2 linked regions of the Alligator mississippiensis genome follow. The protein of the gene in region 1 binds, or shares a complex with, the protein of each later gene. Links are inferred from orthologs where the notes say so. Each region holds a gene or a part of one and is shown on either strand. Other genes may lie near its edges.

Region 1 (7,960 bases):
ACCTCTTGGCTCTCGAGATCCTGCTTCTGTTTCTTCGCCTTGTGTTCGCCGTTATCATCATCGTCACACGATCGCCTCCTCTTCCCCTTCCCTGTAGGCCAAAGACAGAGGTTCCCCTCTGACTCCATCACGCTGAACGTGGATTCCTGTCCAAACTCTCATCATGCCTCCTGCTCCCACCGTGCCCCTGATCAGGGTGGCTCAGCTCATTCCTCACCTATGAGGTTCAGTCTGGGGACGCTGTACATGTCCTTCTCGTCAATGACCAGCGTAGGCGCAGGAGGTGCTGCCGAATCTGATGGCCCAGAAGCATCGGGGACCCCTGGGCACCTCTGCACAAAGTGGGTGTCTGCCAGGCGGACAAAGGTGTTGGAGACTTCAGTGTAGTCCATGGTTTTCCCATCTGGACAGGAGGATCCCAAGGAGAAGGTGAATGTTCGTGATCCTGACTGCCCAGCTGCTAGCACTGTGCCAGCTGGGTTACAACCCCATGCCCTGCCCTTGCTCCTACCAGCCTCAGAGGCCATGGGCTGGGTTTTCAGAGGCAGATGGCGGTTTTGGAAGCCTCTGGTTTTTTAGGGGGTTACTTGAGGTGACCTGATTTTTCAGGGATGCTGAACAGGCTTGTGTCATACACTGGGCACCTGAAGTTTCAAGGTCATGTTTAGAAGTGTTTAGTCTCCTGTTTCCAGCTCAGATACCCCACTCCTGGCAGATTAGATACTGATAAGGCCAGCTACTTAGACATGCATCTATCAGAGAAACCGGCGCAGAGGTGAGGGAAAATCCAAGCACAACCAGAGTGGGTTTCCCATCTCAGCCCACAGCTGAGAAACTCATCTTTAAGACACAAGCTAGGCAGGAAATGCTCCTCCTTCACCTCAGAACTCATATAGGCAAACTGAGACCTGGAGAAGATCTTGATCAAGTCTTTTTCGACTTGATCAAGTCCTCCAGCGAGTCTGCGGCAGCGAAGAAGCCAACTCGGCAGCCTTGAACCTGGTTTCCTGACACAGGGACAAGTTCACATTGGCACGTGTTATACCATCATGTCTGGTGGGAGCATATGCCCGCAAACCAGCTCTGTCTCTGGCATGAGCACTGACTTGCTGTTTATCTTTTGCTGCTCCCCCATCCCTGGAGCTGGCAGCCCAAGCTCTCTCCTGGGGAATCACTGGCGCACTGGTTTTCTACACAGCCCTTCCAAGACACAAAACCCACTGATGCCACCCAGCAGATGTCCATCCATCACTTCCCTATGGTCTGGATTCAACATCCCCCACCCTGGTGCTGAATCCTCTTATTCCCCTGAGCTTGATCCAATCCCACCAGTGGCGAGATATATCCAGGGAGCACCAGCCAGATGAGGTGCCCCAGGGAGCAGTCCCCATCCCGTCTCTCAGCCATGCCAACACCCCCATCACTCACCCTCCATGGTCTCTGTCAGCCTGTCAGCCACCTTCGTGACCACGGCGCTCATGGGCATCTTGCCATTGAGAAGCAGCTCCTCCACAATGAGCTCGCCCGTGTCGCCGTACAGGGTCTTGGCCGTGTAGATGTAGCGCGGGTAGCGCAGGATGCACAGCACTCGGCTGCACTGGACGCTGTACTCCACGAAGCCACGCTTCTGTATCTGGTAGGTGCCCAGGTTGTGCTGGATGAGGACGCACAAGGCTTTCTTCACCTGTGGGAGCCGGAAAGGGACAAGTCACGGACTTGGGAACGCACAGCACCATCGATGGACTAAGAGGAGGGGTGTGTGAAGGGGGGAGGGGTTAGGGTTAGGGTTGGGGGGGGCTGGCTGGCAACTCGAACGATGCAGTATCTGTGCTGTGTTCATGAGCTCTTATCAGCTTGGGATAAAGCTATTAAGCTTTCACCACGGAAGTGAATTCACCCGATGCTGCGAATTCCCAGGGCATCTCAGGCTACCAGAGCTGAGGCAACGTGCGAGGTCCGGGGCAGGGCGCTGCGTTCTGATTCACCGTTAATTGTTAAACAGCTCAGTCTTTCACACCCTTAACCTCCATCCCCTGCTCCAGCTTCGCTCCTTCCTTTCCCAGCTAGATCTCAACGGCACCCCCCACTCGCCCGGCGGCAGGGAGGTAACGTCTGGGATCCGCTCGTTAACACTGGTGGCAAAGACGCCCCTGGACCGCAGCAGGAGCCCGATGAAACCATCTATCCCAATTTTAAAAAAAAATCTGCTTTCAAGTCAGCACCTCCTTTACGCCAATTTGTGTCTCGCACGTAGATTTTAGAAGTGGGGAAACCTTCCGGAGACGGGAACTGACGAGCTGTACGGAGATCGCCCGAGCACAGCCGGCTCCCCTGAGCGTGCGGACGCCGACTCGCCAGCTGGCGCAGCCCGGGACGTACCTGGTCCAGGGAGGTGCCGGTGTCGCTGACAATCGCTCGCAGAGGCTGCCCGCCGGTCCGCACGAGGTACGTGCCTATCTTCTCCACGATCTCTCCAAAATGTTCTTGCAGCAGCAGAGAACAGAGCTTAATTTCCGCCTGCGTCATCCCGCCGGCAAACCGCACACCTGCGTCGAGTCGGGTCCGAACGTCCGCGGTTTCGTCACGAGGGATGCAACGGGTCGGCGCTGCCGGGCGGATGCGGAGATGCCGGTTTCTCTTGCGGTGTCCAGTCCGGACTCGAGGCGGCTCACGCTTTGTGCCAGAAATGGATTTGATGGGTTCACATCTGCAGCTGTATCAAACCGCCCCTCCCCCCACCCCCACTCCCACTCCCACTCGGGAAACTGAGGCTAGAGACGGGCCCCTCCCCCTCCAAGGGAAACTGAGGCTGAAGACGATGAGCTGAGGCCCGGGGGGGGGAGGGGGTGTCCCGACGCCTGGGTTGCATCTCACCTGGGGGAGGGGAGGGGAGGGGGTCGAATTTTTTTAGGCCCCGACAGCAACCATAGCAACCCCGTGGCTTTCAGCTTCCAGTTCAACAAGGATCACTTCCGCTCGCTTCTTTGGTGTGGCCGCTCTAGCTACCTCTCGTTGGTGGCGCTGGAGGACCCCAGGGGGCGCTCTCTCCCTCTCCCGTTGCGTCTAACGTCGCCCAGCGCATTGAGGACTCTCGGGTGGCGCTCTGGCTTTCCCCTCGTCTCTGTGGCTGCTGGGAGGACTGGAACGCGGAAGTAGCGAGGAACCGCTCTACCCTCCCGCCTCGCTGCTCAAGCGGAAGGCTCCGTTTTCCCGCAGCGGAGCAGAAGAGACTGGGGAGTAAGCTGCGGGCTAGAGCGGCCCCGCCGCCGTTCTATCCGGCCCGCCCGTAGTCTCGCTGCTCCTCCCGGAGGACTGACGGCAGGCAGGGAGCCGGGGGAGGGGGAGAGAAAATGGCGGAGGCCTCGGCAGCGGCGGCGGCCGCCGTGTCCCAGCATCGCTTCTTCTGCCACAGCTGCAAGGGGGAGGTCAACCCCAAGCTGCCGGTAAGAGGGACGCGGGCTTCCGGGTTGGGGGGCTGCATCCCGCCCCCCCCGCTGTAAGGGGCGGAGGGAGGGTCAAACCTCAGCGCCCCCCTCCGGGGGGGAGGGGCGACCCCCTCAGGGGACTGGAGCCGGAGCCCCCTCATTGGGGGAGGGGCAAATACAGAAGCCCCCAGTTGGGGAGGGGTTGTTGCCCTTCCTCCCGAGTGGGGGCTTCACCCCACTTGCCCCCCCCTCGATTTGGGGCTGGGGGGGGTGATCCCTTCCCCCAGTGGGTGAGAAGGTGACCCCAGCTACCCTCCCCGGGGGGGGTGAACCCCAGCATTGCCCCTGAGGGGGTCTAACCCCCCCAAGCACCTCCTGGAGGGGAAATGCCCCCTCGGGGGGAGGAGGGGCAATGCAGGGGATCAGCCCCCCCCCAGGGGTAGCCCCTCCCCCCGGAAGTGACGGCGCATCCCATTGGCCCATGGGACCTCCCCATGGGGGGGGTTGGACCCCCCCAGCCCCCTTGACAGTGGGGGAAAGCCCCACTCCTCAGAGGGACCTTCCCCGGGTGGGGGGAGCGGAGAAGTCCCCCCGGCTGCCTCAAAAGCCTTGTTGGGGGCAGAGCGTGAGGGAGGGTGCGTCTCCCTGCCCCGGGGAGCGAGGGGGTCGCCTGGCAGAGCCCCAGCCCCGGCTGCCTCCTTGGCATCTCCCCCAGTGCCGGGCAGGGGGGCTGCAGGCTCCGCTCGGCCACATGCCCAAGGTAGCAGGCAGGTTTGTTTGCAGTCGAGCGTCTCCGGGCATCCTTGTTTTGCTTGTCCTGTCACCCGAGGTGTCGTCGGGCGTGGGGGGGGCAGCCGAAGGAGCCTGAACCAGATCAGGTGCCGCTTCTTCTGTGTCCTGTGGGGATGGTCCCCTCCCCTTCATGCCTCAGTTTCCCCAGGTCTGAAAGCGAGAGACCCCTTGCCTCATTGCTGAGCGGGAGCGTGGCCAGGAGATCCTCGGCAGCTGGGGCAAGATCACAGCCCCCTGGATCTTGAGGTCCCTCCGTGCTCTCTGGCTCTGAGGAAGTTGTGGGTAGGGGGTGGCATGAGCTGGGCAGATCCAGGGCGTCCCCCTGGCCCATGGAGGAGCAGAGCAGGTCCTGTGCTGCTGCTGGTCCTCTCCTTGCCAGGGATGGAGGTGGCAAGGTGCCTGATTTCACGCAGTGTAGCAGCCTGGCATGACATGACTGCCCTGCCCCTGCCTGATGTATGCTCAGGTATCAGTGTTCCTGCAGCCCCGGCACGGCTCGTCCTTGTCCAGGAGAAGCCCAAGGTGCTACATCTCAGCATCCTGGCCCGCTGTCCTTGCAGCTAAGAGCCCAGCCTTCTGGCATGGTCTCTTCGCTCCCTGCTCCTGAATTCCCCGTCGTTTTGCCTCTGCCAACTTGGATAGGCCCCCCACGCTCTTCCAGCTCTCCTTTGTTAGAGAGAAACGCTGCCCTGAATCGTTCGCAGCCCGTTCCCTTCCGTAGCCGGGACTCAGGATTTCCTGATGGCCAAAGCACGTTTTGTTTGCAGCCTCTGGGCCCGGCTGTCTGAGCGGCACATAACAGTGGGGCTGGGCAACGTGCTCTTTCCAGCGTCTTTGCATCATGTCTTTCCTCTCTTGCTGGGACTCCAGTGCCTGTTTTCAGTCTCCTCACTCGGGGACTGAAATCCCTTCTTGAAGGCCCAGGCAGGGCTTTGCTTGGCTGCCTTTGCAAAAGAGAGTGGTTTGCCTGCCTTGCTTGGTTTTTCTTAAAACTTTTCTTAAAACCCAGAGCAACGTCACAGCCTTGGCTTTGAATTCACTTTCGCTGCTGTCACTGGGTGATGAGCTGTGTTCTTGACGTGCTGCACTCCACCCCAGAGGTGGCTGCATTTCAGCAGCGCTAAGCATAATCCTATCTTTGCGGGTGCTTCAGAAGTGGCAAATATTTCCCAGGCTTTATAAATACTTTCTTCAGGGCTGGAACCAACCAAGCCAAACCCATCAATCTTGCTGCTTTTTCTTTCCTGCACAGGGTGGCAACACCTTTCTCTGCCCTTGATCCCTGGTAGGAAATGGCTTGAGTTAGGGGATGGCTCTTTTCTTCCAGGCTGTTTGAGTGGTGGGAGAATATGGCTCCTTCCTGCTCTCAGTAGCCAGCGTCATTTGGAAGCACGATTGGGACCAGACTCTGGAACCACTTCTTCTGGAGCCTGTGTGTTCGTGATCTCTGGCCAAGGCTCAGCCAGGAGCGTCAGACTAGGTGAGGACAATGCCTGCGTTCGGATCACTGCTCTAAAGCTGATCCCCTCTCTGACCTTGGGCAAAGCACTCTTTCTATGTGCCTCAGTTTCCCCATTGTTCAACCGTGACAGTTGCTGGGTTCAGCTGGGGTGTGTGGGTAAGGGGGGGCTGCTGTTTTCAGTGCCCTTGATTAGGGCCTCCTTTCAAATCTGCATTGGCCCAGGTCTCTGCCAGGCGTGTCTGTCTGGAGGTAGTGTGAACCAGCGATTACAGCTGAGAACCAGGACTCCTGGCTTCTCATCCCAGCTCGGCCCCTGACTTATCTCTGACGTCAGGCAAGTCACTTCCCCTCTCTGTGCTAATTTCCTCTCTGCAAAGCTGGGAGCTTTTCTTGACAGCACTCTGGCAGGCGTTATCAGATGAGGGTAATGCCAGCTGAACGGAGCGAGGGAGTCTGGCAGTTGATTTGTAAAACCTGGAGGAGATTTTTTTACACCGGGGGTTATCTAAGCAGAGTATCAGTCTCTCCTTGGAGAAGATGCAGATGTATGGATCCACCATCTCTTGAAGCCAGTGCCTGACTTCCATCAGGGTTTATTGATGGTGATGGGACCTGGCTGCCTCCCCCACACTGTCAGATCTCAGTGGGCTGCTGCAGAGCTGCCAGAGATCCTGAGTCAGGAACCAATGCTGTGATCCACCCAGAATGGACAACAGCGGGTTATATTAGTATGTCATCCTTCTCCCCCGGTCCTCTCCCTGCCACACACCACCAGGGGATCTCTGCAGGGCAGGGCAACCCTTGCCACAAGCCATGTTCTGGCCTGTCCACTTCCCAGGCTACACCAATCCACACGTGGCCAATGGGTTCTGCAGTGATAGACATAGGAAACAGTTAATGAGGAGTGGGGATCTTGGAAGTTATGTTGGCTGGAAGCCAGCCCCATATATTTGTGTGTGTGTGGTGGGGGATAGCGGGGTGACCATGTTCCTCATCACCCATTTGGGGTGGCTACAGTGCTGCTGGTGCATGTCCTGTGGCTCTGCCTCCCTTTCAAAATAAGAGGAGGACAAGCGGCCTGACGTCTGACTGCGCGTGGGGGATTGGAGAGGCTTTCTTGTGGTGGGGACCCTCAGCGAGGCAAATGTCTGCTGCCTGCTTTGGTTGTTCTTTAAAGACATTCCCCTCCTTCCTCCCAGCCCAAAAGGGCCCAGTGATCCTGGACACGGCCCCATCCCCCTCTGCCGGCTCTGCTGTGATCCTGGCTGATCCTTGCTATTAAAGATCTTGCTGTTCATTTTGTTGAGGAGAGATCCTTGTGCCTGGCCTCCTGGCTCTCCTCCAGCCACAAGGCGAAAATGGCTCTTGCAGTTGCATTGGAAGGGGGGGGGGGTGTATCGGGGGCACATTGTTTCCTTATAATATTTCCTTGCTCGTCAAAAACACTTGCAGACCCTTGTACGTGTGAGACTATCCCCGCCGCTCCGCTGCTCAGTTCAGCTGTCTGCCACCCAGCAGCTACTGCCTGTCGCCTCGGGCCTTGGCTGCGTCTCGAGATGGATTAAATGATCCCTGCATGCCGGTTCTCGTGGTGTTGGCGGTGCATTCGGTGCCAGGCAGCTCAGCCACGAGGATGGTATAAAACAAGGGTGGGCAACTTACAGTGTGGATACCACTGTTAGGCTGTGTGCAGGGAGTGTGGCAGATGAGGCAGGGAACATGCAGCACAGGGTAGGGAACAGAAAGCAGAGCAGCAGGTCGGGAAGGGGACCAGAGTGGCACTCGGGGAGGGTACGGGGATAATTTGTGGCACACCTGCCAAAAAGATTGTCCTCTGTCAGTATAAAGAACCCATCTTGACTGTACTGGCGATGCAGCCAAGACAGGATTACAACACAGCTGTGCCTCTTCATTGGGACGTTTACAGTCGAGAGATCTCTAAGACCCTGTTTTTGCTCAGGGTACAGGCCTGTTTTCATTGGTAAAATCCTAATGAAGATGAGGCAATTGCTACCATATTTTCTCATGTACCATGTGCAGCCCCGTCTCCCACACACACCTGAAAATTAAGGTGCATGTTTTAGGCAGGGAAGCTATTGTCTTCACTGTAAAAGAAATCTGGAGACTCGGCAGCTGCCAAGATGGCAGGGTCCTTTGTTAGCCTTTTCACAGCCATAGCTGTTGGGTGAGTGCTGTAGCTTCTGGAAGCAGCAAGTAAGCTGCCAGTAGTATCTTGATGAGATTTGTGATGTGGAAACGAGACTGTTTTCAGGAACTTATG
Region 2 (7,125 bases), on another chromosome or scaffold:
AGATGACCTGATGTGCAGACAGATGAGCACACGTGCACAGAGATGCACACACACGCACTTAAGTGCAGACGCAGACATGTCCACACACACAGACACAGCTTCCCCTCCCAGGACCTCCCCATCACACTGAGGCAGCCATCTTTGCCCCCCCCCCACCACCCACTGACCGGGAGGGAGCTGATGCTGGGCTGTGTCCCTGCAGCCATGCATGTGCAAGGGGCCAGGCTGGCAACACTGCACCCCACCTCTCATTCAGGTGGCAGTGCTGGGAGGGGCAGGTCCAGGTGATAAGGTGAATGTTGGGGGGCTGTGGCCCCCCCCAGCGCTGCTCCCTGCCTTGCTGCACAGCACAGCGCTTCTGGTCCCCCTGCCTGCACTGCACTGCATTCCTGGCCAGCCCAGCCCCAGTCTACCTCCCCAGCTCCACTGGGGGAGGGGCCCCACATGGCTGCAGAGAAGCAGCTACAAAAGCTGTGATTTTAAAGTTGGCACCATTTTTTTCTCCCTCCTGGGAGAGAGAAATGTGCCCAGTTTAAAACCGCACGCACACACTTGCCCAAAAGTGTTACAGACAGACAAAGCCCTTTATTATATTAGAATTAGCATTTCACATTCAACAAACCAGATGGAGATGCTTTTTTGGATTTTTTGTTTTGTTTTGAACAAACAAGAACTAACACATATGATAGGAAAGTTAATCCCTCCACCTGTGGCCACACTGAGCATTACAACACTTATAAAATGTGGTCATAGGCTCATCAGCTGATCTGGTCTGAATCTGCATGAAGTAGGCACGTGGATGTTCACACTTGGGACACGGTTCTGAAAAAGAAACATTAGAAGTGAAGTGAGCTTGGCAGAGCAATTCTTCCTTATGTCACAGAGGGGTGTAGGTAGGTTCTACTTAAATTCAACCTTCCACAAACCATTAACCCAAGAGATGGATTTTTTTTGTAAACATTCCATCTGCCCAACTTTAAGCTCCAAGAAAACTTAATGGAACTTTAGGGGTAGGATCTCTAACACAGGACATTTCCTGTCCTTGAGCACACTCCATTACATCAACTGATTAAACAAAATCAGTGAGGACCATCTAGTTTCTTAAGAGTTGCAGGAGATCTGAATAACCCTGGCTACCAAAAGGCCAGCATGTCTCCTGCAGACTAGAGATTAGCAGAAAGCAAGTCCCACTCAGAGCTAGGAGTAGAGAAGGACTAGCACAGAAATTACAGCAGTTTCATGAAACCAACCAGGACCAGCAATACTGCCACAGTGCAATTTTGGAGTCAGGTGGTCTTCTCTCTTTTGTAAGGAGGTGAGAGAGGCAGACATGTCAGATTAAAGATAAGGCACACAGGGTGGAGAGGGAGATGAATTCCATTTTCTATGTCAATTCACAGGCCAAGATGTGTGTAGGGCTTCAAACTCTGCTTCTGAATCCACAGCAGATTCTAGCTGCAGGCTTTACACAAAATTATCTATATTTGATAGATAACATCTTATGTTGCATCTAAACATCACATTTGTTTTGTACACGACTGTCGTATTCAGCACTTCTAAAAGGGAGCGTGCATTTAATTTGTCAACTACCAAACACAATTACTGCTCTGTTTTCTCGTCTTTCTTTCCCCTTTATTCATTTTCCCTAACTCGCAAAAGCAACGGTAAGATTTCTCTATTCAATCCAATTCCCTTTTCTGAAAGAACTTCTAGGTCCCACTCTCAACTGGGCCATGCTTCACTTCTGTGGCCTCTTCATCTTACTACTATCATACTAAAATGATCAAAGCTAGGACATTTTGTCAAACTGTGGTCGCCAATCCATGGTTTGTGGCTAACATGCTGGCCATAAAAACCCTCCACTACTGCTTGGAGCCATAGGAAATCAAGTGAATTATCACAGTCAAGCTTTAGAATAACACCATAAGATGACAAGAGAGAGAGGGAGCTGTTCACATTTCTCAGAATCATCATTTCAAACTGCTTAGTGACCCAGAAAGACAGCACTGTAGCATGCATGTGGAGCTTAGTGGGCAAGAGAAGAATGGATAAACATGACCCTTCAATTGTTTCAAGTATTGTGGCCCAAGAACCATCCCTCGCAGCACCATGAGTTCCCACTGTCCCTGTGTGGAAGAAGCACAGCTTGTATCACTTCAGGATCCATCTTCCTTAAGTGCAGCCCAGTGCAGACTAATCCTCCCACCTACTCAAGGCAGTGGCTTCTCTTGCAGAGCAGATAGCTCAGCGTGCCTGCATGCAAGGCACTGGGCTCGAGAACAGTGTGGGGCAGCGGGCTGAAGCCGAAGGCGCCGCTGGACAGGAAGCACCAGCAGCACCTTTCGTGCGGGGGCGATGAGCAGCAGGACCGACGAGGCCAGGCCGGCACCGGCTCTCACCTGCTGTGGAATCCACGTTTTCCCAAGCAGCGGCGCCTCCCAGGACGTCGTCCACCTCCTTTAGCTTCGGGTATTTCCTGCTGGTCACCTGGAGGCGCCCGGAAAACTCACTCGCCTGCAGCCCCGTGCTCGGCCCCCCGCACGCGTCTCATCGACTCCCCCCCCGCACCCTGGCGCAGCCAAGAGCGGCCGCAGCGCCGGCGGCTGCTACACGGTGTCGGCCAACGCCGCGAGCCCCGCCGCCGGCTCCGGGCAACGCGAGCGCGCACCCAGCGCTGGGGGGGGGAAGGGCGCTACCTTGCGCGTAACGTTGCGCACATAGGGACACGTGGTGCAAGCGAATCGGTGGCAGCGCGGCCCCTCCTCAGCCACCAGCACGTTGCCGCAGGCCGGGCAGAAAAGCAGCATCTCTGCGCCAAGCAGCCAGAACCCCGCCCCGCCCCGCCACTTCCGGCGGATCAGGTTCGGCTGCCACGAGCCGCCGCGCGGGCCGGGCCATGGCGGCGGCGGACGGAAGCGGCGCGGAGGCTGAGGCCGAGGAGGAGGAGGAGGAGCTGGCGCACGCAGAGGTGCTGGAGCTCTTCCAGGAGGGGCTGGTCAGGCTCGTGCAGGACCCGCTGCTGTGCGACCTCCCTGTGCAGGTGGGTCCAGAGCGCCGCGTCCCCCGCGCTGCGAGGGCGCCCGGCGTCGCGGCCTTTCCTAGCGGCTCAGAGGGGCCGGGTGCGGGGCGCGGCCCACCGCTGCAGGGAAGCGACGAGAGTGCCCGGAGCGAGGGAGCTGCTGGGCGGCCGGGGCGGGACTCATGGGCGCGGCCGCTGTTCTGCCCCGGACAGGTCACCCCGGAGGAAATCAACTCCCAAATCGCGCTGGAGTACGGCCAGGCCATGACGGTGCGCGTGTGCAAAGCCGACGAGGAAGTGATGCGTAAGTGCTTTTGGCGCTGCCCTTGCTGGGGTTGTTTGGCGGCTGCCCGGCCTCACGTTGGCTGTGCTGGCTTTGTGGGGATGGGTGAGCACCGCGCACATAGGGACACGTGGTGTTGAGACGGGGATGCTAACCTGTGGGCATTGTGCAGGGGCAGCATTTGTCTTCTTGCTCCTGCTGCTGTGGAGCAGTCTTATGTCATGTAGTCCTTTAAATATGCTTGCTCTTGAAGAGCCTGCACAGTGATAATGTTCAGTCCTGTTCCCTACGAGTTCCAGCATGTCTGAGTGCTCTGCAGCATCTGTCGAAAACAGTGGAGGACCGCACAGACATGGAGTGGAAGGAGATGCTTTAACTGAAATGTATATTAGTTGGTAAGCCCTTGGCATCAGGACAGGCAGTAAAGCCCTAGTAGTACCCTAGTAGTAAAGCCAAGCAGACCTGGGGTCAGATCCATAGATAGGGACCTACTAAATTCACTGCACAAGTGGGGTGCACTGCTGCTCCTTAATCTTGCAGGTTCCCCCCCCCCCCGATTAGTGCAGGGGCCACACTTGCAGCTTGCTCCTGGTTGGTGGTTAGGAAAAAACTGCAGTTTTAAATAGAGGTGCAGTGATATATTGGTACATATCATATCTGCACCAATAAACGTAAAACTGACATTATTGGCAATCGGCTTTTTTGGCTGCTGTGAGCAGTAATGTTGCCAATACATGCTGCGTGCATGCACACAGCTGCAGCGCAGCACAGGACAGCACACAGGTGGCCAAGAGCGCAGCCTATCAGCATGGAGAGCAGCATCCAGCTGGTAAGTCGAGGGGGGGGGGGGGGGGGGAATGGGTTGGGGGTAGATCAAGGCCCCCACAGTGAAGAAGGGAGTGGGGCTGGGGCAGGTGCTGCACAGCCAGGACAGGGCACAAGACCGCCATAAGCGGCTTGTCTGGATGGTGTACGGGGAGTCACATTCCGCTGTTGCATGCACCCCCAAGGGAGGGATGCCTCCTAGATCTGTGCACAGAGCAAAGGCAAGCTGCTGCTGTGCACTTGGGCCAGGAGCAGTGTCAGGCTCTGCCTGATGGGTGGGGCTTGGGCTTGGGCTGCTCTCAGGATGGGTGGTGCTGGGAGGGGGGAGCTACAGCCATCCCAAAATTTGCCATAGCCCCCTGTAACCTCAGCCTGGCCCTCACCACTGGAAAGAGTCTGGTGCCACACTGTGCACACGTCCAGGAGGCACGTGCCCCGCTATGCCTCCTCCAGGAGTGCACGCAGTGTCTGCCCCTGTCCTTGCCCCAATCACACTCCATCCCTCACCATGGGGGCCTTGTTTTGCCTCCCCCCCCCGTGCCCCTTCCCCACAACAGACTTACCAGCCTGATGCTGCTCTCTGAGCTGTTGGGCTGTATATTGGCAATTGGATCAGTGTCAGCCAATGTGGCTTGTTGCTAATTGGCCATCAGTATCGGCCCAAAAAATTTTTATCAGTGCACCCCTAGTTGGCACCATTTTTGCCTCCTGCCGCTGACTGGCTGAGGGGCCCCAGTGGCCCTGATGCTTGTTGCTGGCTGGCGGGGAGGCAAAAACCACACCATAATTAAAACCATGGTTTTCATTTCCTACCAATTAGGAGGGAGCAGTGTGCTCCCTATGCCAATCAATAACTGCGGGGAGGGGCACACGAGGAAGCATGAAAGATTGAAGGATCTGCCATGTACCCCACTTATGCCATGAATTTGGTAGGTCCTTATTGATAGAGAATAGCGATTAATTTCTGGTTCCCAAAGCTAGTCTTTTGATATTGGTCTTAATGCCTACCTTGTTGTCACAATATGGTGACATCTTCTAGCAAGTGGAGAAGAAATTACATATGTGATCCAAGGTGGGCAGTTGCAGTTTGGTGCATTGAGTGGACTGAGATGGCTGGGGCACAATTTCACGAACCTCAGCCCAGCACCCTGAAGTACTTAGGAGCCAGAGGAGTAGGTGTGTAATTGGGTGAAGTACCTGATTAATACCCTACCTTGGTGGCAGGCAGAAATACAGCTTACTGACAGTGTTCTGTAATGATTTCTCATTTGGTCCGTCACCTCAAACCTGCCTCTATCAAACGTACGAGGTTGGAGCTTAAAGGCTGTAAAGCAGAGGTGGGCAATTATTTCAGGCGGAGGGCCGCTTACCCAGTTTTGGCAAGCTGTCGAGGGCTGCATGGGTAGCCCCGTCCTTTGACAGGTGCCCTGCCCCCTGGCCACCATCTTGGGAACAGTGTCCCAATGTCTTGGGATTGATGTCCCAGGGCCAGCACCGGTGGGGCCCAGAACAGGGTGCAGGCTGGCAGGGGTCTGTGGAGCTGGGCTGCACCAGCAGGAAGAGGGGGGAGCTGGCCCGGCTCCATAGAGCCTCTGCCAGCTGGAACCCTATACCCCTGCTCTGGGCCTTGCTGGGACACCGGTGCGAGCCCTGTGTTCCTGCGCCCACTCATTTCCAGTGCCCCCCCCCCCCCCCCCCCAGCCCCATGGTACAGGCTTGGGGGAGCGCACAGCCCTGAACCCCTGCTCACCAGCAAGGAAGGAGCTGGTGCGGAGCGCAGGATAGAGCCACCCCTTGTCTGCCCCATGGTCCACACTCCCTGCTGCAGCCATTCACACATCGCGCAGGGCTGTCCTGAGCAGGCACAGGCAGCCCCAGGCGGGTGGCGAGCAGCTGCAGTGCAGGGGGTGGGCGAGGGGCCGCTTTTCCCATGCTCTGGACCAGCTTGTAACCCGCCCCCACTGCCAGCCCCGTGTGGGGCTCTGTGCCTGCTCAGGACAGCCCCATGCATGCTGTGAGTGGCTGCAGTAGTGAGGGCTGGCCATGGGGTGGGGGAGGGGCCGCTTTTCCCTGCGTTCTGCACCAGCTCCTTCCCTGCCACCCTCCCTCCCCACCTTTACCTGAGCTTCCTCCCCTGTTGGGGCTTCCAGCTGGGGGGCCGGGGCCGGAGGGGCCCTGCTGTTGCAGGATCCTGCTGAGGATTCCCCTGGGTCCTACTACCCCTTGTTCCTGTCATTTTTGATGGGAACCAAGGACAAATGCATTTTAATTTTCTACATTTTTTTTAGGGGCCCTGCGGGCCAGATAGTGTCCACAGGCCATATTTTGCCCACCCCTGCTATAAAGCAACCTCCTTTGTGAAGACTGACCCAGACAGGAAGACTTAGCCATGTTCATTCCTCAGCTATTCAGTTGGGTTGGTGCCCTCTAAGTTCCATCTTCAGGCTGGGTTCTGGAGTGGTTGTGGCATAAAATAGCTCCTATTATAAAGTGCAGCTTCTAGCAGGTAAGGGTAGGGCCTGGAGCTCTGCCTCCTTTCAGAGCATATCTCCTGGTGTTATTAATTGCAAGTCTTCTCCCCTTCAGCTGTAGTAGTGGTACAGAATGCCAGTGTCCAGGACCTGAAGAAAGCCATCCAGCGGTATGTGCAGCTGAAACAGGAGCGGGAAGGAGGTATACAGCATGTTAGCTGGTAAGCTCTCAAAGAAAGGCAAGGTGTGCTGTGGACAATCTAAACTTCAGCACTACCCTCTTCTTCTGCAGTAAGGGCTGCATATAGCAGTCACCATTCTATTTTCTTTTTGACTCTCAAATTTTGAGATTTTTTCTGTTTTATAGTTTTGCTGGTGTTTGATCAAACTGAAAGAATTGCCTGCTGATGACTAGCTGGTAAAGTAAAGTATTTTCAGGGGCTTAGGAAAAGCCTGTGCAAGATTCATTTGAGACAGGCTGAACGTCCAGCTGCTTGGTCACTGCAATTTGAGATGAGCACCACGAC

What was found. Proteins that work in one complex are often made in the same cells at the same time.
Region 2: POLR3C (region 1) and POLR3K share a complex: the UniProt entries of both Homo sapiens proteins name them as parts of the RNA polymerase III complex. The link is inferred for Alligator mississippiensis from reciprocal best matches to the Homo sapiens genes POLR3C and POLR3K.

What each region holds. Positions count from the first base shown.
Region 1 is NC_081838.1:17,696,157-17,704,116, forward strand, and holds the start of POLR3C (DNA-directed RNA polymerase III subunit RPC3), read right to left. Parts: upstream 3,099-7,960; 5' UTR 2,875-3,098; intron 2,674-2,874; 5' UTR 2,527-2,673; coding exon 2,380-2,526; intron 1,685-2,379; coding exon 1,429-1,684; intron 404-1,428; coding exon 218-403; intron 92-217; coding exon 3-91; intron 1-2. Other genes in the region: E3 ubiquitin-protein ligase RNF115, read left to right, coding at 3,351-3,443. UniProt on the Homo sapiens protein: DNA-dependent RNA polymerase catalyzes the transcription of DNA into RNA using the four ribonucleoside triphosphates as substrates.
Region 2 is NC_081836.1:21,216,931-21,224,055, forward strand, and holds POLR3K (DNA-directed RNA polymerase III subunit RPC10), read right to left. Parts: upstream 2,865-7,125; 5' UTR 2,808-2,864; coding exon 2,697-2,807; intron 2,488-2,696; coding exon 2,400-2,487; intron 823-2,399; coding exon 695-822; 3' UTR 566-694; downstream 1-565. Other genes in the region: SNRNP25 (U11/U12 small nuclear ribonucleoprotein 25 kDa protein), read left to right, coding at 2,897-3,040, 3,233-3,323, 6,714-6,819. UniProt on the Homo sapiens protein: Core component of RNA polymerase III (Pol III) which synthesizes small non-coding RNAs using the four ribonucleoside triphosphates as substrates. Can mediate Pol I proofreading of the nascent RNA transcript.